Macaca mulatta: one gene and its partners. The protein of the gene in region 1 purifies or fractionates together with the protein of each later gene. This does not show direct contact. Links are inferred from orthologs where the notes say so. Each region holds a gene or a part of one and is shown in the gene's direction. Other genes may lie near its edges.

What was found.
Region 2: the proteins of POGZ (region 1) and ZNF428 purify together in Homo sapiens (affinity purification with mass spectrometry; 3 studies listed by BioGRID and IntAct, counting the BioPlex papers as one, with this or other methods). This does not show direct contact. The link is inferred for Macaca mulatta from reciprocal best matches to the Homo sapiens genes POGZ and ZNF428.
Region 3: the proteins of POGZ (region 1) and CBX1 purify together in Homo sapiens (affinity purification with mass spectrometry; 7 studies listed by BioGRID and IntAct, with this or other methods). This does not show direct contact. The link is inferred for Macaca mulatta from reciprocal best matches to the Homo sapiens genes POGZ and CBX1.
Region 4: the proteins of POGZ (region 1) and CBX5 purify together in Homo sapiens (affinity purification with mass spectrometry; 5 studies listed by BioGRID and IntAct, with this or other methods). This does not show direct contact. The link is inferred for Macaca mulatta from reciprocal best matches to the Homo sapiens genes POGZ and CBX5.
Region 5: the proteins of POGZ (region 1) and CHAMP1 purify together in Homo sapiens (affinity purification with mass spectrometry; 4 studies listed by BioGRID and IntAct, with this or other methods). This does not show direct contact. The link is inferred for Macaca mulatta from reciprocal best matches to the Homo sapiens genes POGZ and CHAMP1.

The regions. Positions count from the first base shown.
Region 1 is NC_133406.1:115,652,412-115,656,706, forward strand, and holds part of POGZ (pogo transposable element with ZNF domain), read left to right. Parts: coding exon 1-34; intron 35-988; coding exon 989-1,097; intron 1,098-2,283; coding exon 2,284-2,574; intron 2,575-2,655; coding exon 2,656-2,874; intron 2,875-4,295. UniProt on the Homo sapiens protein: Plays a role in mitotic cell cycle progression and is involved in kinetochore assembly and mitotic sister chromatid cohesion.
Region 2 is NC_133424.1:56,033,833-56,038,575, reverse strand, and holds the start of ZNF428 (zinc finger protein 428), read left to right. Parts: upstream 1-1,502; 5' UTR 1,503-1,684; intron 1,685-4,743.
Region 3 is NC_133421.1:61,945,421-61,949,715, forward strand, and holds part of CBX1 (chromobox protein homolog 1), read left to right. Parts: intron 1-1,462; coding exon 1,463-1,639; intron 1,640-2,321; coding exon 2,322-2,499; intron 2,500-3,718; coding exon 3,719-3,813; exon of another isoform or gene 3,814-3,987; intron 3,988-4,295. UniProt on the Homo sapiens protein: Component of heterochromatin. Recognizes and binds histone H3 tails methylated at 'Lys-9', leading to epigenetic repression. Interaction with lamin B receptor (LBR) can contribute to the association of the heterochromatin with the inner nuclear membrane.
Region 4 is NC_133416.1:61,467,057-61,471,794, reverse strand, and holds the start of CBX5 (chromobox protein homolog 5), read left to right. Parts: upstream 1-1,335; 5' UTR 1,336-1,461; intron 1,462-4,738. UniProt on the Homo sapiens protein: Component of heterochromatin that recognizes and binds histone H3 tails methylated at 'Lys-9' (H3K9me), leading to epigenetic repression. In contrast, it is excluded from chromatin when 'Tyr-41' of histone H3 is phosphorylated (H3Y41ph).
Region 5 is NC_133422.1:108,394,903-108,399,816, forward strand, and holds the start of CHAMP1 (chromosome alignment-maintaining phosphoprotein 1), read left to right. Parts: upstream 1-1,715; 5' UTR 1,716-1,814; intron 1,815-4,914. UniProt on the Homo sapiens protein: Required for proper alignment of chromosomes at metaphase and their accurate segregation during mitosis. Involved in the maintenance of spindle microtubules attachment to the kinetochore during sister chromatid biorientation.

The DNA.
Region 1 (4,295 bases):
TGTGGCCTCACAACCAATATTTATCACTACACAGGTGAGTAGGACTCTGAATTCCAAGGTTGCTAGAGGAGAGAAAGACTATGAACCTCTGAAAGCTCTGACTTAGGGTCTTTGGCATCATTAGAAGTGTTTAAGTCTTGTCTCTTGACCTGGCTTTCTCATTTACTGTTCTGCAATTTGATGTTGACTGTGGAAAGCCCAGCTTAGATAGCATGGCTGGGTAATATCTTCTTTAAACCCCTTAGAAGTTTATTAAGTGATTTGATTAAAATCTAGAGAGAAATTAGTGGGAAAGCTTGGATTAGGAAGCCTTAATGCTTGGCTCTTGCGGCTTTTCACCCTTTGCTTGGACTGCTCCTCTTCCCATGGGATGAGTTAGTTAACTTTTGGAGATGTATATATGTAATTGGTGGAGTTCATGGAGACCTTTGGGAGACAAGGAAGATGACTTATTTGATATATAATGTGTTGAATTGAAGTTGAAAGCCTAATTCTGAAAGCCTGATTCTAAAGGCAAATGCTTCTCTGCCTGTGGCTTCCTGAGTTGTAAATTCTTATGAATTTGCCAAAGGTTTGTGGCCTTTGAAGTAGACTTTGGGAACAATTTCTTAGGATTGTTGGTATGTTGAATCACTCCAGTGAACATTGCTCTTCCCCCCGCTCCCCCACCCCCGCTTCTCTTCATTTAGCACTTCAGGGAGCCAATGTGTTGATGAGGTTTTTTAAACCGATGCTCTCTTAAGTCAGGGAATAGGTTTTCATTTTTGCTCATGTGTACCAAAGCTTGTTCTCTAGTTTTGATATTTTGTTACTCAAAAGTTTGCCAGAATTTCCTAAACTTTTCCATCTCAGTCGTTTAAAAGCTATAATTCTAGAGAGAGAACCATTAAGTAAGAGTATGGGAATTTTTTTGGATATAGGTCATACTGCAATGTTTGTTAGTATTAGTTGGTCTCCATGTTAAAGATCATTTTGCTTTTTAATACAGGGATTTCCTGTAAGGAATGTCCGGCCTGTACAAAATGCAATGAATCAGGTTGGGATTGTGCTGAACGTACAGCAAGGCCAAACGGTTAGACCAATTACACTAGTTCCAGGTAAGGAAAAATGTCTATCCATTTGGAGTAAACCGGCATCCAGAAGATTTGTTTTTGTTGTTCTACATATCCTAAGTCATTTAGTAAGTATATTTAAAGAAAATATAAAAATCTTAATGATTTAAGCCCAATTTTTAAAAATCTGTTTGGCCAGGGTGGTGGTTTTATTTATTTCTGTTTAGCTTTTCACCACCCTTCATGAAGTAGTAAAACAGAGTTTATAGTCATTTTTCTGTAACTGGTATTTAGTCAGCTATTAAGTTTGTTATCCTGGAGAAATGTTATTAATGCAAACTCACAAATTCATTCCTTACACATCTCCTCATTTGCACGGTGGGATTATAAACTTTGTTTTAATTTTATAGCATGGATTTTAGATATAAACAAATGACCATTCCCTTTATGGATAAATACTGTCAATGACTAGATAGTTTTTTTGTGTTTTTTTTTAAGATTCTGCTAGATAGTTTTTTTGTTTTTTAAGATTCTGAGAAGGATAATTTTTTAAAATCTTAGAATTTTCCATTGCTCTATTTAGCATGTATAAGTTTACTACAATTCAGACCAAAAAAGAATATCTTAATTTAGCTATTTGTAAGGGTACCTCTGTAGCTTGTCTCCCTAAGGTTTTATTTTTTGTTCTCATAGCCCACAGGGGTTTTTAGCCCTCAGTTTGACCAGCTTACCCTGGTATTTCTTTATTTTTTTCAGTGGAATCGTCTACAGTTGAGCCAGTAGACATTCTCCTTTGGGACATCCTAGTAGAATGACATAGTCTGTCTTCTGAGTTGATAGGAAAGGACGGAAGACTCCTTTAGTACTCTGAGAAAGACTGATTTCTTTTTTCAGGACCAGGTTTGCCATTTGGCCTATACACACCCATATTGCCAGTACCGAGGTCGAGCTACTAATTGTATTCTTAGAATTAATAAAAAGGCAGTGTGGTAAGGTGTTTCAGGAGGAGTTGATGGGAGTCTTAACTAAATGTTTTTAGGCTACCCAGGCTAATTTATTTTGTCAATATAGACACCTTGTGCTTTCTTAGTCTTTAGAATCTATACTACTCTTGGAAACTTCTGATGATCATCCATCAGTTTGGGGAAATAATCTTTCCAGTAAAGGCAGGGAGAATGTTTTATAGGTGAGCTCACTGACCAAGATCTGGTACTTTATCTCTCTTTTAAAGCCCCAGGTACCCAGTTTGTTAAGCCGACAGTTGGAGTTCCACAAGTGTTCTCCCAGATGACCCCTGTGAGGCCAGGCTCCACAATGCCTGTGAGGCCCACCACCAACACCTTCACCACCGTCATCCCGGCCACTCTTACCATTCGAAGCACCGTCCCACAGTCCCAGTCCCAGCAGACCAAGTCCACTCCCAGCACTTCCACCACTCCCACTGCCACACAGCCAACCTCACTGGGGCAACTAGCTGTTCAGTCTCCTGGCCAGTCAAACCAGACCACGAATCCCAAGCTAGGTAAGGCTTGGGAAGAGGAGATGGCAGAGCTAGGATGGGATGGTGGGTGGAGAACAGATGATTATCACTTGGTCACCGTAGCTCCCTCCTTCCCCTCTCCACCTGCAGTGAGCATTGCCAGCTTTGTCACTGTGAAGCGACCTGGCGTTACAGGTGAAAATAGCAATGAAGTGGCCAAATTGGTGAATACCCTTAACACAATCCCTTCCCTGGGCCAGAGTGCTGGGCCAGTGGTGGTGTCCAACAACAGCTCTGCTCATGGCTCTCAAAGAACCAGCGGACCTGAGTCATCAATGAAAGGTACAATAACCTGAAAGACCCTGAGCAGCCAGTCATTCAAAAACATTAATAAAGTGTTCGTTGTATCAGAGCTCTATACTCAGAAATACAGAAATAAAATAAAATATAGCTGCTGTAGTTTGTTCTTACAGAAACTTTAGTAAGGAGAAAGTCACTTATAAAAAGTGTAACGAATCAGCTCTAAGAAATTCTATGTGTAATTGTGCTTTGGGGATTAATGAAATTGATCAAGAGATTGGTGAGATAATGAAAGATAACTTCATGGAAGAGATGGATTTCTAAACAAGGTTTTGAAGTTGGGATTTGGTAGAGAGATCTTCAGGTTGAGAATATGAGCATGAGGGTTTTCGATGGTCTAGAGCAGGGGTCGGCAAATGTTTTCTGTAAAGGGTCTAGTAGTAAATTTGGAGGCTTTGTGCACGATATGTAGCCTCTGTTGCAGCTGTTAGCTGTGCTGTTGTGTTGTGGAAGCAGCCACAGGTACATAAACGAATGAGCATGGCTGTGCTCCACTAAAAACTATTTATGGACTGAAATTTAAGTTTCATAAAATTTTCATGTGTCGAAAAATTTTATTCTTTTATTTCAACCTTTTAAAAATAAAAGCCGCAAGATGCAGTGGCTCACATCTAATCCCAGCATTATGGGAGGCCAAGGCGGGAGGATCACTTGAGCCTAGGAGTTTGAGACCAGCCTGGGCAACATGGTGAGATCCCTTCTCTACAAAAAAAAGAGAAAAATTAGCCAGGTGTGGTGGTGTATGTCTGCAGTCCTCGCTACTCAGGAGTCTGAGGTGAGAGGATGGCTTGAACCCAGAAGGTTGAGCCTGCAGTGAGCCGTGATCATGCCACTGCAACAGAATGAGACCCTGTCTCAAAAAAAGGTAAAAACCTTTAAAAAAAAGTTGTTGGGAAAACTAGATATCCGTGTCCAAAAAAATGAAGTTGAACCTTACCTTACTCTTAATACAAAAATTAACTCAAAATGGATCAAAGACCTAAATGAACTAAAACTATAAGACTCTTAGAAAACTCATAGGACAAAAAGCTTCATGATACTGGATTTGACAATGATTACTATTTCTTGGATATGACACCAAAAGCATAGGCAAGAAAAGAAAAAAATGGGTAAATTAAATTATATCAAAATTTAAAACTTTTGTGCATCAAAGGACATTATCAACGCAGTGAAAAGGGAAGCCACAGAATGGGAGAAAATATTTGCGAATTATGTATCTAATAAGGGGTTAACATCCAGAATATATAGAGAATTCCTACAGTTCAGTATCAAAAAAACTCCCAAACAACCTTTTTTAAAAATAGGCAAAGGAGGCCGGGCGCTGTGGCTCACGCCTGTAATCCCAGCACTTTGGGAGGCCAAGGTGGGCGGATCACGAGGTCAGGAGATTGAGACCATCCCGG
Region 2 (4,743 bases), on another chromosome or scaffold:
ACTCTGCCTCCAGGGTTCAAGTGATCCTCATGCCTCAGCCTCCCAAGTAGCAGGGATTACAGGCAACCCCCCATCACCTCTGGCTAATTTTTGTACTTTTAATAGAGGCAGGTTTCACCATGTTGCCCAGACTGGTCTCAAGCTCCTGACCTCAGGTGATCCACCCGCCTCGGCCTCCCAAAGTGTTGGGATTACGGGCATGAGCCACCGCGCCCAGCCCCATGTACTCTTCATGCCAGTTACAACCACCACGGACTCATGGCCAATCCCAATTTATCCGTAACTCCAGTCATATGTGTAAGCGCTATTATGGAGAGATCAGGAAAAGCCTCTCAAATTGACATCTGTACCAAGATATGAATGGTGAGCACAAGAGCAGGTATTCAAAGGTCAGAGGGAAAAGCATTTTCAGGCGGAGGGAACGGCAAGAGCAAAGGCCCGAGATGGCAAAGAGAGTTTGGCATAAGGTGGAGCTGGACAGGAGTGGAGGGAGGAGGAAGTAGGTGGGGTCAGAAAGATAAGCACGGCCAGACCAGCTGTATAGCCCTGAGGCCATGATAAAGATTTTTGGACTTTTTTTCCTAATGGGATTCCTTTGGGGAGTTTAAGCCGGAATGTGACACTTCCAGGAAGACTGGAATGTAGTCATAGATCAACTCTAACATGGTCTATAAGACCATTTCCCCTCTCCAGTTCGGTTCTAGGCATACTATGCTGCTCTTGCTTCCTCAATCAAACCATGTGCTTTTTTTTTTTTTTGGCCTCTGGGCCTTGGCGCTTGTTCACTCTGCCAGATCCATTCCCATTCTAGCTGGCTCCTATTCGTACTTGGCTTAAGGATCACCACCTCCTGGAAGCCTTTCTAGAACCATAGGCCGGGGCAGGCGCCTCTTAGGCTCCCATAGTCCCCTGTGTTCCTCACTCCAGGTCTGACCTTCTGGGTAGTAGTTGTCTAATTAGGTGTGTATCTCCTCGACTGGGGCGCCGTGAGTACAGGAGTATGGTTCACTGCAGAAACCATAGAATCTGCCAGCATAGGGTCTGACACCTAGGAGATCAATAAACATTTATCCTGGCTGGGAGGGGTCCTGACCCTCGTGCCCCTCTCAGGATGCAAACTGATCCCCAACGAAAGCAAGGTTACCCACTTCGCGTTAGTCTGCAGTCCCTGCGCGCATGCGCTTTGCTCAGGTTGCCCCGCCATATGCTAATCACTGCGCTCAGGAGTAAGGCCTCCTCGGGGAATATGCAAATCACTCCTTCCAGTTCTGGAGGCCTTTCATTGTCCCGCGCTAGGATTATGCAAATAAGCAGGCCTCGGGCCCAGGATCCAGTCCGAACTAGCGCCCTCCACCCCCAGCGCATCTCATTTTTATAAGTAGCGTTCCTGCCCCCCACACGCACGCGCGAACCCTTCAGCTTGTTGTTCCTTCGGGCCGCGGACTGTACCAAGTAAACCCAGGCAGCGAGGGGCAAAGCACGGCGCCCCCCGCGCGGGTCTCGTCGACGGCCCGACGCTCATAGCCCCTCTTCACACAGAGCTACAGGACTAGTCCGTCTCACCGCGCAAGCGCCCTAGGCTCTTCACGCCCCCTGCGCGCTCTCCTACCCTGCTTGCGACGCAGGCGCAGAGGCTGGGCGTGCAGCTGCCGCCGCAGAGCCGGAGCGGGGGCCGCCGGCGCCGGTGAGTGTCCCGGGCAGGGGTGCGCGGGGCATGCCGGGAAGCGGGCGCTACGGCCCCGCTGCATGATGGGAACGACGACTCCCGTCGCCGGGGAGCCGGCGGTCTGGGGCCATGGTGACCCGAGGGCTTCCTTTTCTCCCCCTACGCGGCTGTGCCGCCCTGGGGCATCCTGGGAGAACCGAGCGCTCCGCCTTGAAGCGCTGTGGGAGTCGGTCCGCTAGTCGTTGTAGGCCTGGTGCATCCTGGGAAAGAGTGTCCCAGATCCTCGTCGAGACCGGTTCCTTTTATCCCACACCTGCCACTGACCGTCTTGGAGGCTTGGAGCGCTTCCACACAGGGAGTCCGGGAAGGTGGTCGCTATAGGCCCAAGGCATCCTGGGAAAAACTGCCACAAGGAATTGTGGGAACTGGCCCTTATTGTCCCGTAGTGGAAGGTTTTGCCCTCGTCTCATTGCTCGAGCATTGGAACGGGTTCCTATTGTGTTCACGCGGGGCATCTTGGGAATTGGCTGCTACAGACCCAGGGCATTGTGGGGTCTCCAGCACTGTGTTTGCCTTTCAGTTTGGCTGCCATAGGCGTGGTAGGAGTGGGCTTGTGAACCAAGGGATGGCCCTACCTGACGTCTGGAATACTCAGGAAGGGGCCTTGTGTTATGTGGGCTTGGAAAAGTGTAGGCTGATGGGCATTGTCTTCTGGTAACTTCATGGGACGGTCTTGATTGCCCCAGGTGTATGGTTGCCATATAAAATATACAATGTCTAGTTAAATTTGAATTTCAGATAAACAATTATATCCAAAAGATACAACCTTTTAGAAAAGTATGTTTCAAATATCACATGGAACATAGCTATATTAAATAACTGTTTAGGCCAGTTGCAGTGGCTTATGCCTGTGATACTAACGCTTTGGGAGGCTGAGGCAGGAGGATCACTTGAGACCAGGAGTTCAAGACCAGCCTGGGCAACATAGCGAGACCCCCGTCTCTACAAAAAAAAAGTAAAAATTAAGCCTGGCGTGGTGGCGCACACGTGTAGTCCCAGCTCCTCTGCTATGGGTGAGTAGGGTACCATGAGCATAGGAGTTTGAGGTTACAGTGAGCTAACCTTCCAACCTGGTTATGGGAATTACATGAGTTAAGACCTGGAAGCCCCTTTCCTACAGACCACCCTACTGCAGTCCAGCCTGGGCAACTGAGCGAGACCCTGTCTCTTAAAAAATATAAATAAGTAGGCTGGGCACGGTGGCTCACGCCTGTAATCCCAGTACTTTAGGAGGCCGAGGCGGGCGGATCATGAGGTCAGGAGATTGAGACCATCCTGGCTAACACGGTGAAACCCCGTCTATACTAAAAATACAAAAAATAGCCGCCGCAGCTACTCGGAAGGCTGAGGCAGCAGAATGGCCTGAAGCCAGGAGGCGGAGCTTGCGCCACCGCCTTCCAGCCCGGGCGACAGAGTGAGAGTCCACCTCAAAAAAAAAAAAAAAAAAAAAAAAAGCAGGGCGTGGTGATGGCTGCCTGTAATCCTAGCTACTAGGGAGGCTGAGGCAGGGGGGAGGTTGCAGTGAGATCGTGCTACTGTACTCCAGCCTGGGCAAAAAAGTGAGACTCCATCTCCAAAAAAAAAAAGAAGGAGGAGGAGGACTTTCTTGACAGCAACAGTGGGTGTACTAAGACGCACAGACGGGAAAAGGCCTTGTGTGCACAGGGAGAGGTGAGAGGTCGGGAATATCTGGAGTTTACAGAGGGGTGGGGGTGGGAGTAGTAATGGCCACGTGGTCTGGATGGAATACCCGCCACACACCAGCAATTTCTATCAGTGAGCCTACTGAATCTTCAGAAAAACCTTTTGAGCTGAGAAATCATTTTATGAAAGGTGTGGCTTCCAATCCTAGTTCATCCACTTACCAGATGGTGACCTTGGGCTATTCACTTACCACCTGTGTGTCTGTTTTCTCATCTGTACAAAGGAGGTAATTCCAACCTAGTTATGGGGAGTACGTGAGTTAAGGCCTGGAAGCCCCTTTCTTACAGAGAAGGAAACAGGCTGGAGAAGTTAAGTTCTTCGCTTGGTGCTACACAGCTAGAGCTTGGCAAACCTAGACACTATCTTGCCAATGGATACAGAACTAAGGCTGATAGTCACAAACTAGTACAGCCATACCAATTGTTTAAATATTAAAATACTTTCAGATGGGTTGGTGTGTCACTGCTCACAAGTACTCGCTGTCCCTAACTGCCACTTTGGACCCTCCCTGTGGTATTATATATATAAATATGTTGGTTTTTATCCACAGTTCCTGGCTGCTAACTCCTATAGCCTTTGTTTGTGTTCTCTTGTTATAATGTTGTGTACCTTAGGCCTGGGGCAGGTCTCAAGAAACAATCTCTCTGACCTCCTCCTTCCCTCCATTTCCTGCCCCAGGGCAAGACTCTAATCTTCCCCACCTTCCTGATTGTTGGTCTTAAGACATTTTCAGAGAATTCCATGCCTAATGCTGCTGTCTTTTTTTGAGACGGAGTCTCACGCTGTTGCCCAGGCTGGAGTGCAGTGGCGCGATCTCGGCTCACTGCAAGCTCCGCCTCCCGGGTTCCCGCCATTCTCCTGCCTCAGCCTCCTGAGTAGCTGGGACTACAGGCGCCCGCCACCGCGCCCGGCTAATTTTTTGTATTTTTAGTAGAGACGGGGTTTCACTGTGGTCTCGATCTCCTGACCTTGTGATCCTCCCGCCTCGGCCTCCCAAAGTGCTGGGATTACAGGCTTGAGCCACCGCGCCCGGCCAATGCTGCTGTCTTAAAGCCTCTGTAAAAACCCTAGAGGACTGGGTTTGGAGAGCTTCCACATAGCTGACCACATGAGGGTTCCTGTAGGGTGGCACCCCAGGGAGGGCGTGAAGCTCCCTGCCCCTTCCCTTATACCTTGCCTTACACATCTCTTCATCTTTCTTCTTTGCAATAATAAACCAGAAAATCTAAATAAGCATTTCCTTGAGTTCTGTGAGCAGCTCCAGCAATTTTTTTTTTTGTAAGAGGGGTTATCCAGGCTTAAGTGCAGTGGCA
Region 3 (4,295 bases), on another chromosome or scaffold:
GCAGTGAGCCAAGACTGTGCCACTGCACTCCAGCCTGGCTGGAGTGAGACTCCGTCTCAAAAAAAGGGGGGTGGGGTGGGGCGGGGCTTGGTGGCTCATGCCTGTAATCCCAGCACTTTGGAAGGCCACCATGGGCGAATCACGAAGTCAGGAGTTCAAGACCAGCCTGGCAGCCTGACCAACGTGGTGAAACCCTGTCTTTACTAAAAATACAAAAATTAGCTGGGCATGGTGGCTCACACCTGTAGTCCCAGCTACTCATGAGGCTGAGGCAGGAGAATCACTTGAACCCAGGAGGCGGAGGTTGCAGTGAGCCGAGATTGTGCCATTGCACTCCAGCCTGGGCTGGCGTGAGACTCCGTCTTAAAAGAAAAAAAAAAAAAAAAAAGGGCCGGGCAGGGTCATTCACGCCTCTAATCCCAGCACTTTGGAAGGCCAGGGCAGGCGAATCACGAGGTCAGGAGTCTCACTCTGTTGCCCAGGCTGGAGTACAGTCATGCGATCCTGGCTCATGACTGGCTAATTTTTGTATTTTTAGTAGGGACAGGGTCTTGCCATGTTGGCCAGGCTGGTCTTGAACCCCTGACCTCAGGCCATCTGCCCGCCTCCGCCTCCCAAAGTGCTAGAATTACAGGTGTGAGCCGCTGCGCCCGGCCTTCTTTGAGTTTAATGCAATATTTTAGCTACCATGCTCTTTTACAGATTTTTTGTGTGTGTGGAGATGGGGTCTTGCTATGTTGCCTAGGCTGGTCACACACTCCTGGGCTCCAGGAATTCTCCCACTTCGGCCTTCCAAAATGCTGGGATTGCAGATGTGAGCCTGCATGCGTGGCCCTAGCTACCATGCTTTATGGTAAAAGGAGTATTGGGAGCCTTTTTAAATGACAAAGAATGGGTATAAAAGTTGTAAATGGATACACAAGAATAAAGAAGTTTGCTGTGAAGGCCAGGCGCAGTGGCTCACACCTGTAATTCCAACACTTTGGGAGGCCGAAGCAGGCGGATCACCTGAGGTCAGGAGTTCGAGACCAGCCTGGCCAACATGTAGTGAAGTCCCGTCTCTACTAAAAAAAAACAAATACAAAAATTAGCTGGGCTTGGTGGCACATGCCTGCAGTTCCAGCTGCTTGGGAAGCTGAGGCAGGAGAATCACTTGAACCCAGAAGGCAGAGGTTGCGGTGAGCCGAGATTGTGCCACTGCACTCCAGCCTGTGCAACAAAGCAAGACTCCGTCTCTCAAAAAGAAGTTTCGCTGTAAGATTAATTGGGGCTGTTTTATGAGCTTTCTGACTGCACATATCAGAAAACTATTGTGTATCGAATGTGAGAATAGGCCTCACACTTATTGTAAGCAGCATATAATATTATCACCTGTCATGTCTCTGGTTTTCTTACCATCCAGATATTATCTAACCAATAAGAGTGCTCCCTAATTCCCTTTTTATTTCATTTATCATTTTAGCAGCGTCACCCTTTACACCAGAAAGCTGGCGGGCACTATGGGGAAAAAACAAAACAAGAAGAAAGTGGAGGAGGTGCTAGAAGAGGAGGAAGAGGAATATGTGGTGGAAAAAGTTCTCGACCGTCGAGTGGTAAAGGGCAAAGTGGAGTACCTCCTAAAATGGAAGGGGTTCTCAGAGTAAGTTTCACTGACACAAGTAAATGTAGCCACCAGGTGTTTATCAGGAGTCTAGAGATGTATGAGACCTCCAGTGCTGTGATGGAAACTGTGTGACTCAGTCCCCACCTTCATGGCTTATTGTTTAATTAGGAACATGGCCTACTGCTTGTTATACAGAGCAGAATGACTTCTTTTTTAAAGTTCTTTCTTTTGAGACAAGGTCTCGCTCTGTCACCCAGGCTGGAGTACAGTGGTGCAGTCATAGCTCGCTGCAGCCTCAACCTCCCAGGCTCAAGGTATCCTCCCACCTCAGCCTTCTAAGTAGCTAGTACCACAGGCATGCACCACCATGTCTCACTTAGTTGCCCAGGTTTGTCTAACTCCTGGCCTCAAGCAGTCCTCCCACCTGGGCCTCCCAAAGTGTTGGGACTACAGGCGTGAGCCACTGTACCCAGCCCATAGTGATTTCTGAGAAATATTGTGTGTGGCTATAGACCGATTTAAATTGACAAATAAAAGTCATTTGCCTTTGAAGGAAGCCAGTTTCTTAGCTTTCTATTTATACTAGAAAGCCTCCCCATTCCCCAAGAAATTTCAGCTTTTCCATGGACGTCTGAGCTCTTGTCCTCTTACGATTATCCTTAGTATGATTATACTTATTTTGAGTGAAAGTGTGACTTGCTGTGCCCTCTGGTTTCAGTGAGGACAACACATGGGAGCCAGAAGAAAACCTGGATTGCCCCGACCTCATTGCTGAGTTTCTGCAGTCACAGAAAACAGCACATGAGACAGATAAATCAGAGGGAGGCAAGCGCAAAGCTGATTCTGATTCTGAAGATAAGGGAGAGGAGAGCAAACCAAAGAAGAAGAAAGAAGAGGTAAGGATAGAAGTAAGAATTTTTACTGGCCCACAATTCAAACCACTGTCAAAGTAGTTTTGTTTTGCTTCTTCCCAGATATTAGCAGCCATCTCTTCTTAGTTCTGACATCTTAGGTAGGCTAATGCCTACAAAGTGAGAGTGTACTCTCATGAAGCCACATGATCTCTTACTTTTTTGTTTGTTTGTTTGTTTGAGACGGAGTCTCGCTCTGTCGCCCAGGCTGGAGTGCAGTGGCCGGATCTCAGCTCACTGCAAGCTCCACCTCCTGGGTTTACGCCATTCTCCTGCCTCAGCCTCCCGAGTAGCTGGGACTACAGGCGCCCGCCACCTCGCCCAGCTAGTTTTTTTGTACTTTTTAGTAGAGACGGGGTTTCACCGTGTTCGCCAGGATGGTCTCGATCTCCTGACCTCATGATCCGCCCGTCTCGGCCTCCCAAAGTGCTGGGATTACAGGCTTGAGCCACTGCGCCCAGCCAGTCTCTTACTTTTTATCCATGGTACAGGAGCAGTAAATGGGATACTTGCTGGGGACAGATAAAAGGGCAAGTGAATTCATTCTTGTAAAAAACGGTTTTCAATGTTTAATCATTAAAGGTGTGAGGTAGCTATTTTGACTTAATCAGTACGTACCTTAAAGTAAGTTGTTTTTTGAGAGTGAAGAGATAGGTGTAAACATTGATTTTGCTTGGGCTGTATGTCCCTTTTCACATATGGGAAAATCTCATGCGCTTCAGACATTGATGAATAATCACTCCAAAGAATTCTAACAGCTCTCTTACTTTGAGCCAAGGTATTGGTGAAATATTGGCAAAAAAGTTTGTGTTTGGGCCGGGCACAGTGGCTCACACCTATAATCCCAGCCCCTTGGGAGGCTGAGGCGGGCGAATCACAAGGTCAGGAGATTAAGACCATCCTGACTAAATGGTGAATCCCCGTCTCTACTAAAAATACAAAAAATTAGCCAGGTGTGGTGGCATGCGCCTGTGGTCCCAGCTCCTCAGGAGGCTGAGGCAGGAGAATTACTTGAACCCAGGAGGCAGAGGCTGCAGTGAGCTGAGATCGCACCACTGCACTCCATCCTGGGCAACAGAGATTCCGTCTCAAAAAAAAAAAGAGAAGAGTTTATGATTACATTAATCAGAGACACAGGAATAGTTCCAAGTCTAGATAATAGTCCCATATAGATAAAATTGTTCTACCAATCTTGTTTTTACAGTCAGAAAAGCCACGAGGCTTTGCTCGAGGTTTGGAGCCGGAGCGGATTATTGGAGCTACAGACTCCAGTGGAGAGCTCATGTTCCTGATGAAATGGTGAGTCGGCCAGTGGCTTTGTGTGGTTGTTTTTTTTCTTCTCCCATTGGTTTCATGCCAGAGGAAAAGAGCTGGACCTTCGAAATTCCAATCACCCAAGTGTGAAATTAAGATGGCATAGTCCTTCGATAGTGACCCTCGGCCTGACTGCCAACCTGGACTCATGAGTTACAGGTAGGAGCCCTTAGGAATCTTAGGTCTTTGCCCATATTTTTAGGAGGTGGGAGACAATCTAGAGTGGAAAGAGTGTGGGAAGGAATTACATTTCATTACGGTAAATAAAAGGGGAAAAAATGAAATGTGATTGGACCACCCTCTCTTTCTACCACCTCCTTAATAAAGATGAGGCTGGCCCCAGAATCAGAAACTGCTAAATTCTCAGGGTTAGGAAAGATTTTGTAGTTCTTCCCTTTGTTTGTCCTTAATTGTTGGATCCTTTTCAATTTGTGCAGATTCTACAATTACAGCATCAGCCAGCAGGG
Region 4 (4,738 bases), on another chromosome or scaffold:
GCTCCTCAGGCTCTCATCGGTTGTTTCAAAGCTCAACCCTCCAATGAAGAGCTTCCTCAGCTGTTCGGGCTCTTTAGGAGACTGGAGTGGGGGAAGGGGGAAGTGTTAAATGGACTACAACACGAAACAATTTCCATCAAGGAAAAGAAAAACTAGACACCAACTGTGTACCTAGCACTTATTGTTTGTTCAGGTCGCAACAGGCCACGTGCTTCTCCCCACCAAGGGAGGCAGTATGCTGGGGGTTGGGAGTGCTGGGAAATCGCAAGCGCATGCGTCTCTAGTCGTCTTCCGACGCACGCGCAACAAAGGCTTGGGCGGGAGGGGTGCATCTCCATAATGGGACTAACCGCTCTTCAGAAATCTCGCTCACCAAGGCAAGGTTTAAAAAAAGACAAAGATCCTGTGTGCCTAAGAATTTTGCTACGAGTAGCGAGTCCCGCGTGATAACTCGTGGTTGGCGGAGAGCGGCCTCATGGCGATCAAGAGGACAAAATGGCGACTTGAACTTTGGGAGGGGTAGGCCTTGGCAGCGACCGAAGTTAACTGTAGAATCGGCTGGTGCAAGGAACGAAACCAAGCCGCATCTTACCGATTCAGAAAAGGGAGACGAAAAACATTCAAGTTGGAAAGCTCGCCTAACTCACCTCTGACTTAGACATGACGGCAGGGAGAAGAGAGACTTTAACGATGCTTCTTCGGCGGCGTCCACGGGCAGAAAGGAGCAAGCTGACGAACGTATCTGCCAGCCTACCTTCGGCCTCTCTTTTTTACCCCGCCTCCTCGCTTTCGGCATTGGTAGACTCCGCCCTAGAACAGCTCTGATTGGACATTTGAAATCGCTTCCCCTTGCTATTGGCCTGTGGTGCCACATTGCTGTGTAACGTCATTCCTTTGGGCGTTCTACGCGTCTCCACCCCTTGGAGTCAATTGGTTCTCGAGTAATATTACTGTTAACCAGTCTGATTGGCCAACCGACCAATCATTCATGTTTGAATCTACCTGGGGTGTTTAACGCCTTTTTCATCTTCCACGCGTAAATATTACAGTCAAGTCGCTTGGCAAAGCATGATTAACACTATGTATTAGACAAGCAGCCAGGAGGTCACAGTTTTTTTGCAAAGAACGCTTGTTGACCGCACGTGTAGCAAAATGGCGAATTTTGCGCAGGCGCATTAAGAAGTTCCACCTGCCTCTGGGAACACGTGAAATGGCGGGCAGGACTAGGCAGTGAACCTACGGCGCCTGCGTGTTGGCGGGAGTTGGTTCTAGCTTTGCGCATGCGCAGTGGGCGGAGAAAAAAGGTCCGGTCCCAGGATTGGTTGCGCAGGCGCAGGGAAGGATCCGTTTTGGCGGGCGGTTGGCGTTGCGCAGAAGGCGGCGGCGGTGGTGGCTAGTGGTGCGGCCTCACCAAACAGGAACAGGGCAGACGTTAGCGTGAGTGATCACTCTCAATCCCGGGTAAGTGGCAGACAGTCTTATCTACCCATAGTAGGTCTTGAACTGACTCCATTTGGGCCCGTTATTGTGTGAAATGAATGGACCGCGGGGTGGGGGATAGTCAAGGGGCAGCGGTGGATCGGGTCAACCAATAGAAGAACAGGGGGCGGGATGTTTTAATCCCTGTAGGTTCTTGGGAGCTGTGCAGCCGAAGACTTTGACTGGCTTGTGTATAGGCCAATTGGGTGTGCCTTGAGCTGCCGACTGATCGGCCCTTGGGCCATCGGAATGTGGGAGATGGGTTTTCCCCTTCTGAGCAGCGTCTCACTGAGCCAGTGAGCAGGAAGCGCGCGGTAGGTTGGGCTTCTCCAGGAGGCAGCGGTTTGACTCCAATGGGGAATGCGGGATCGGGCGGTTAAACGGATGGAACGAATCTGGAGCCAGTAGACGGACAGCCTAAGGAAAGCACTGGGACCAGTCGTCCAATCGGCTCTCCAAAAGAGAGAGGTCTTCGATTTGGGGTTGTGAGGAAGGGGAGTCGGTGCCTGTAATGGCGTGTGAGGATGAATGTTTTATCCACAATGACTTTTCTAATGTTCTAACGGAGCCTTTAGGCCTCAGTCCCATACACCTCCCTGAAGCCTAAGTTTCCTCGTGTATTCCTCGACTTGACCATGTTTCCCCCGCCTCCTCACCACTTGAGGTTTGGGGAACAGAGGAGGTTTTTGTTTGTTTTTTTATAATACTTTCAGAAGTCGCTTCTTTAGGAAGACTGTTAAAATGTTAGAACGAATAGGAGAAATCTCTATATCCTGATAGTGCATATTTCCACGAACAATATGTTTGTAGGTCCATAGAAAAGTTTTCCAAAGCTACACACCAAAGTGTGTCAGTCCTAGGGACACAGTAGGATCGAGGCAGGCTGGTTCTTTAATGTTTAAAACTTTGCAAGATTAATGATTTGTGATTAAAATTAAATAAAAAATGAAGTCAATTGTTTTGTGTTTCTAATCATAATCACATACTTACCACCCTTTTTCTGATTTATATAATCCATGTGCCCAGTGCTTTTATTTTAGTCTCTTTCTCCCGGGAACTTTCCCTCTCATACATTTCCTTTCTTTACACCATTAAAGATATCCTAAAACCCCTCATTTTGATGTTCATTTGAGGATATCTGACTTTGGATTAAAAAAGAAACGCTTAAAGAGGGTAATATTTAGGGTTCTGGGGACAGAAGACTCATCCATCACCTGGATTATTCCTTGCCTTTTAATTAGATTTCCTTCGAAGTGTGTTTTACATGCAGTCTATCTCCTTTTGGTAATGCCCCCTCTGCTTATTCCAGGATCTTTTGGAGAAATAAATAAATTTTGATAACATTGGCTGTATCAGAGTCTTACTGCTTTGTTCAATAATTCAGGATCAAGGGAAAATACTTAAATACTGAAAATCAACTACCTATGAAGTACACTTATGACTAGAGACCTTTCCGACTTTATACCAAAGACAAACGATTTTAATAGCAGTTTATGAACAGAGGAAAAATTTCCATGTTCTCTGGCACTAGCAAAAGGATAAAGTATTTATATATAGTTTATCCCTGGTTTTAAACCTATTTGTAGGTATGCTAGTAATGGGGTTGCTGAGCTTCTGAGAACTAAAGTGATACTGGTTAAGGGTATCTGTCCTGGATTTATTTAGGTTTGAAAGGAATACAGTCTTAACCTGCAGCAAGATTTCTCAGCATTAGCACTGTTGATATTTTGAGGCAGATAATAATTCTTTGTTAAGGGTATTCGGGGTGTCCTGTGCATAGTAAAATATTTAGCAAAATCCCTGGCTTCTACCCACTGTATGCCAGTAACATCGCACCTCTCGCCACATCCCCATTTGTGACAATCAGATTGTTAACAGACATTGCCAAATGTCCGGAGAGGTAGGGATCGGGGATAAAATCTCCCTCGGTTGAAAATCATTCTCCCAAAATTCTGGAGTATGCAGGGCACAGTTTCGTGTTCCTGTAGTCCCAGCTACTATGGAAGCTGAGGCAGGAGGCTTGAGCTCAGGTGGTCAAGGCTGCAGTGTGAAATGATTATGCCTGTGAATAGCCACTGCACTCGTCTGGGCAGCACAACAAGATCCCATTGCTAAAAAATAAAAATAAAATGCTAGAGTTTATTATTTTTTCAAAATCCATTATTTTACCAATTGGAAAATAGGTAAAAGTGAGAGAAGATGGTTGAAGTGTTTAGGGAGTGGCCTTTGGTAAATGGATCGCTAAATCCTGATGTTTATCTCCTTAGATACAGAATTGATCATTGTTCCATTTGATAAAAGGAAATTTTTATTAAAATTTTTACCACTTGATCTGGTGCCAGTGGCTTACGTCTGTAATCCCAGCACTTTGGGAGGCTGAGGTGGGCGGGTCACTTGAGGCCAGGAGTTTGAGACCAGCCTGGCCAACATGGTGAAACCCGTCTCTACTAAAAACACAAAAATTGGGCCGGGCGCAGTGGCTCATGTCTGTAATCCCAGCCCTTTGGGCGGCCGAGGTGGGTGGATCACTTGAGGTCAGGAGTTCAAGACCAGCCTGGCCAACATCGTGAAACCCGGTCTCTACTGAAAATACAAAAAAATTAAGTGGGCGTGGTGGCAGGTACCTCTAATTCCAGCTACTCGGGAGGCAGAGAGAATTGCTTGAACCCGGGAAGCGGAGGTTGCAGTGAGCAGAAATTGCACCACTGCACTCCAGCCTGGGTGACAGAGCGAGACTCCGTCTCAAAACAAAAAACAAAAACCCCTGCAAAAATTAGCCAGGCATATTGGTGGGCACCTGTAATCCCAGCTACTCAGGAACCTGAGATGGGAGAATCGCTTCAACCTGGAGGCAGAGGTTGTAGTGAGCCAAGATCGTGCCACTGCACCCCAGCCTGGGTGACAGAGTGAGACCTTGTCTCAGGAAAAAAGAAATATTTACCACTTTTTGCAACTTAAACTTACACATATGATTGATTGCATCTTGTCCTTGTTTGGCTTCCTAAAATAACGGCAAATATGTTTTTGAAGAAGGTAGACTTTGCCTCACATCCGTCTTTTTCACTTGATTCTAGCTAGCCTCTTTACTGGGATTCTTTACTGGGATTCTTTTGGATCCACGTTTCAAAACTTTTTTGACTTCAGTAAGAAATGTATTTTACAGTAATCCTGTACACACATTGAAACAGATTTCACTAAACAAACGTGCAGAGCACTCCGATACTCTTTTGTCTGCAGTATACTATTTCATTGTCTTAAG
Region 5 (4,914 bases), on another chromosome or scaffold:
GTTAGGATTGAACAGAGCACATGGTGTGTGCCAGGGATGTGCAGCGGTTCCAGAGGTGAATAAATGGATAGTCCCTCCTCTCCAGGAGCTGGCAACCTGTTGTTGGTATCAGGCTGTAGTGCCAGAGGGTGACATATACAGCTGGGGCTTCTAGGAAGATTGGGAGGGAGTGGAAAATTGGCCAGTGCAGTTGACGCATGAATAACAGAGGTTTGAACTTCAACCAAATGCCAATAAAAAAAGACAGCATTTACAGAATGTGAAACATTTATATGGAGGGCAGATTTTTCATATATGGGAATTCCACAAGGCTGACTGTAGGACCTGAGTATGTGTGGATTTTGGCATATGGGAGTGGTCCTGGAACCAATCCCGTGTTTACAGGGAGACAGCTGACTTAAAAAGCCGTCCTGCCTGAAGGCCAGGCAAGACAGGGAGTGTAAAGGAGAGGAAATAGTTTATACAAAAACCCAGATGCTGGAATAGTCAGGGAATTACATGTGGGCCAGTATTTTGAGAACGCAGTCTGGTCATGGGCCAGACTGTGAAGAGCTTTATATGCTGTATTCAAATCGTGTAGTGTAGGTGTCTTAGTTGCCTTGGAGGAAATGTGAACAGGCAGGTCACATTAGGCTTCTGTTTGGAAGACAGGTTTGGTAGCTGGAAGAAAGGGAGACTAGTGGCAGGAAGTTAAGATGTCAGAATTAAAGCAGTGACGGGGTAGGGGATAGAGAAGGGGTAGATGAATGTGCTGGAGCTAATGAGAAGCACAGTGTGCGCTGTTGTGTAGCTTGTGCACAGCCAGTTTATCACATTCTGTTCTTGTCAGCAGACTCATCTACACCATGATGCTTTATCTTTGAAATGCATGCGGGAAGAGAAGAGGGCAGAGCAATCACTGAAGGAGGTCCATGTGTTCTTCCTTGGGGTCAGGACACCGCCATCCTCCTCCCAGAGTCCTTTCTTTTTGTACCTCTTGGTCCTGTTTGTTGTGGTGTCCCTTCCTCCACTGCCTGTTAATTTGTCACTCTGCTGTGTAATATTGATAACTGACAAAAGTCAGCCATTGTTAGCATCAGTAGTCACACCAGCAGTCTTCTGAGTGCTTATCAGAGAAGTGAAGTTAGGTGGTTGGTTTGAGAAGGATATGATTACACACATGGGCATAATTCCATAGTGGATTACTAAAGAGAAAGTAGACAAAGATGGTGTCAGGAGTGGTATCTACTGTAGTCTTTGGTGTCATTTCATAAAAGTAAGTGTTCAGGCCTGTACAGTGGCTCACGCCTGTAATCCCAGCGCTTTGGGAGGCCGAGGCGGGTGGATCACGAGGTCAGGAGATTGAGACCATCCTGGCTAACACGGTGAAACCTCGTCTCTAATAAAGATACAAAAAAATTTGCTGGGTGTGGTGGCGGGCACAGTCCCATCTGCTCGGGAGGCTGAGGCAGGAGAATGGCGTGAACCCGGGAGGCGGAGCTTGCAGTGAGCCGAGATCATGCCACTGCACTCCAGCCTGGGCTGGACGGAGCGAGACTCTGTCTCAAAAAAAAAAAAAGTAAGTGTTCAGGCTTAGTGGATTGGACTCCTCTCACTGTTAGGGCAGGATGGTGAGCGAAATACACAGAATTCTATCACAGGGGACACACATGATCACAGATACAGTTTTGATCACTTTTTTTTTTTTTCCAGGTTCAACTTCTCGTCTTGTTGTTCTTCTTATACTATAGGCTGTTTGCTCTGGTTTAGTCAAAAAGCCATGTAGAATGCCTGCCTTTTGAAGACCAATTTTAAGGTGTCTAGTAATACAGCAGGTAAGTCTAGTAGGGAAAGCATGCTTAGGAGAATATTTTATGAGGAGAAAATTAAAAAAAAAATACTTGGAGTTCTTGAAGGAAATCTCTAAAAGTATACACGCCCTTATGGATATAACGTGTGATGTGCGCTAGATATACATAATTTGGGATATGAGAAGTGAATTCTGTAGCATTCTTTTTAGGTTTAAGTATGAGATTGGCCTGAAGAGCTGATGGTAGGCAGCGGGAAGAGGAGGGCTGGCTGGGAGGGATGGGGAATGGTAGGTGAGTCTGACTCAAACCCAGCACACCTGAGCTCTTAGTCTCTGTTGTAATTACAGTATGTAATATAGTGCTCTTTAATGTTAGCTTGGCTGTTCATTATTGCCAGTTATAGCTGCATGGGATTATTGAGACTTATTCTCCGGTTTCCCTTAAAGTCTTCTAGTTTTATTTAACAATGGGCTCTGAGACGGATGGTTAACCCATTATTTCTGCATGTATTCAATTACGTTTGTAAGTTAAAGATCATTTTTAGAGATTTTTCTTCAGTACTGAATTATTTATTTTTCTTTTGTTACAGTCCTAGTCCTAAAAACAATATTCTAAAATACAGAATAACTGCTGGCAACGCAGAAAGAGTAAATAGTTTCCAAAGAAAAGTATTTATTTCCTCAAATACCTGTTACCTTTTTAGCTTTAGACCAAAAAATAAAAAAGGCAAATGATATACCATGGATAAAAGTGTTAGGAAACAGTATTGTCGTTGAGAACATCTTTAAAAACAAGTTATCAAAGTTAGAAATATTATACTTTTTTTTTTTTTTTGAGACGCAGTCTCGCTCTGTCACCAGGCGGGAGTGCAGTGGCACAATCTCAGTTCACTGCAACCTCCAACTCCCTGGTTCAAGCGATTCTCCTGCCTCAGCCTCCCAAGTAGCTGGGACTACAGGCACACACCACCATGCCTGGCTAATTTTTGTATTTTTAGTAGAGACTAAATACATGTTGGCCACGATGGTGTGTCCCACCTATGAGTGAGAACATGCGGTGTTTGGTTTTCTGTTCTTGCGATAGTTTGCTGAGAGTGATGGTTTCCAGCATCCATGTCCCTACAAAGGACACTAAACACCATGTTGGCCACGATGGTCTTGATCTCCTGACCTTGTAATCCACCCACCCGGCCTCCCAAGTGCTGAGATTACAGGCGTGAGTCACTGCGCCCGGCCTATACATTTTTTTTTTTTTTTTTGAGACGGAGTCTCGCTGTGTCTCCCAGGCTGGAGTGCAGTGGCGTGATCTCGGCTCACTGCAAGCTCCGCCTCCCGGGTTCACGCCATTCTCCCGCCTCAGCCTCCCAAGTAGCTGAGACTACAGGCGCCCGCCACCACGCCCGGCTAGTTTTTTGTATTTTTAGTAGAGACGGGGTTTCACCATGTTAGCCAGGATAGTCTCGATCTCCTGACCTCGTGATCCCCCCGCCTCGGCCTCCCAAAGTGCTGGGATTACAGGCTTGAGCCACCGCGCCCGGCCTACATTTTTTTAAATTAATGGTTTTGTAATTAATAAAGGGAGAGCCAGAGTTTCTAATCTGTACCATTCTTTAAGATGCAGTAAATATCATTACCATCAATAAGGGAAAAGTGTTCAGTCTTTCTCATTAAGAGAAGCACATTAACACAGTAGTGAAATACTGGCTTTCACCTAGGTTGTAGCAAGGATTAGGAATTTATATGAAATTGTCTTTCATATATACACTGTTGTTTTGCAGTAATGTAAGTTTTCGAGAGTTTGGTAAAATGTATCAATTTTAAACACAAATGGCTAAGTAATCCATTTCTAGGAATTTTCCCTGCAGAAATAACCTTACATGCAAAGATAAGTACAAGGAAAGTCAGTGCTTACTCCATATGTAAAAATGTCTTAAAGAGATGAATTCTAAATGAGAGTAAGTTGCCAGATAATATGTTTAATATCCCATTTGTGTAAAGCATGTGTGTTAATCAATATATGCCTAGGACATTTCTTCCAGGACACATGAGTACACTGGCTACCCCTGCAGACTGACACTCCGTATCTTGTACTGTGTGAATGTGTTTTGTTTTTTTTTTATATTTTAAGTTCTAGGGTACGTGTGCACAACGTGCAGGTTTGTTACATATATATACATGTGCCATGTTGGTGTGCTGCACCCATTAACTCGTCATTTACATTAGGTATATCTCCTAATGCTATCCCTCCCCCTTCTCCCCTCCTCCCCCCCCACAATAGGCCCCGGTGTGTGATGTTCCCCTTCCTGTGTCCAAGTGATCTCATTGTTCAATTCCCACCTATGAGTGAGAACATGCGGTGTTTGGTTTTCTGTTCTTGCGATAGTTTGCTGAGAGTGATGGTTTCCAGCATCCATGTCCCTACAAAGGACACGAACTCATCCTTTTTTATGGCTGCATAGTATTCCATGGTGTATGTGTGCCACATTTTCTTAATCCAGTCTGTCACTGACGGACATTTGGGTTGATTCCAAGTCTTTGCTATTGTGAATAGTGCTGCAGTAAACATACGTGTGCATGTGTCTTTATAGCAGCATGATTTATAATCCTTTGGGCATATACCCAGTAATGGGATGGCTATGTCAAATGGTATTTCTAGTTCTAGATCCTTGAGGAATTGCCACACTGTTTTCCAGTGGTTGAACTAGTTTACAGTCCCATCAACAGTGTAAAAGTGTTCCTATTTCTCCACATCCTCTCCAGCACCTGTTGTTTCCTGACTTTTTAATGATTGCCATTCTAACTGGTGTGAGATGGTACCTCATTGTGGTTTGGATTTGCATTTCTCTGATGGCGAGTGAGGAGCATTTTTTCATGTGTCTGTTGGCTGTATGAATGTCTTCTTTTGAGAAGTGTCTTTTCATGTCCTTTGCCCACTTTTTGATGGGGTTGTTTGTTTTTTTCTTGTAAATTTGTTTGAGTTCTTTGTAGGTTCTGGATATTAGCCCTTTGTCAGATGAGTAGATTGCAAAAATTTTCTCCCATTCTGTAGGTTGCCTGTTCACTGTTATGGTAGTTTCTTTTGCTGTGCAGAAGCTCTTTAGTTTAATTAGATCCCATTTGTCAAT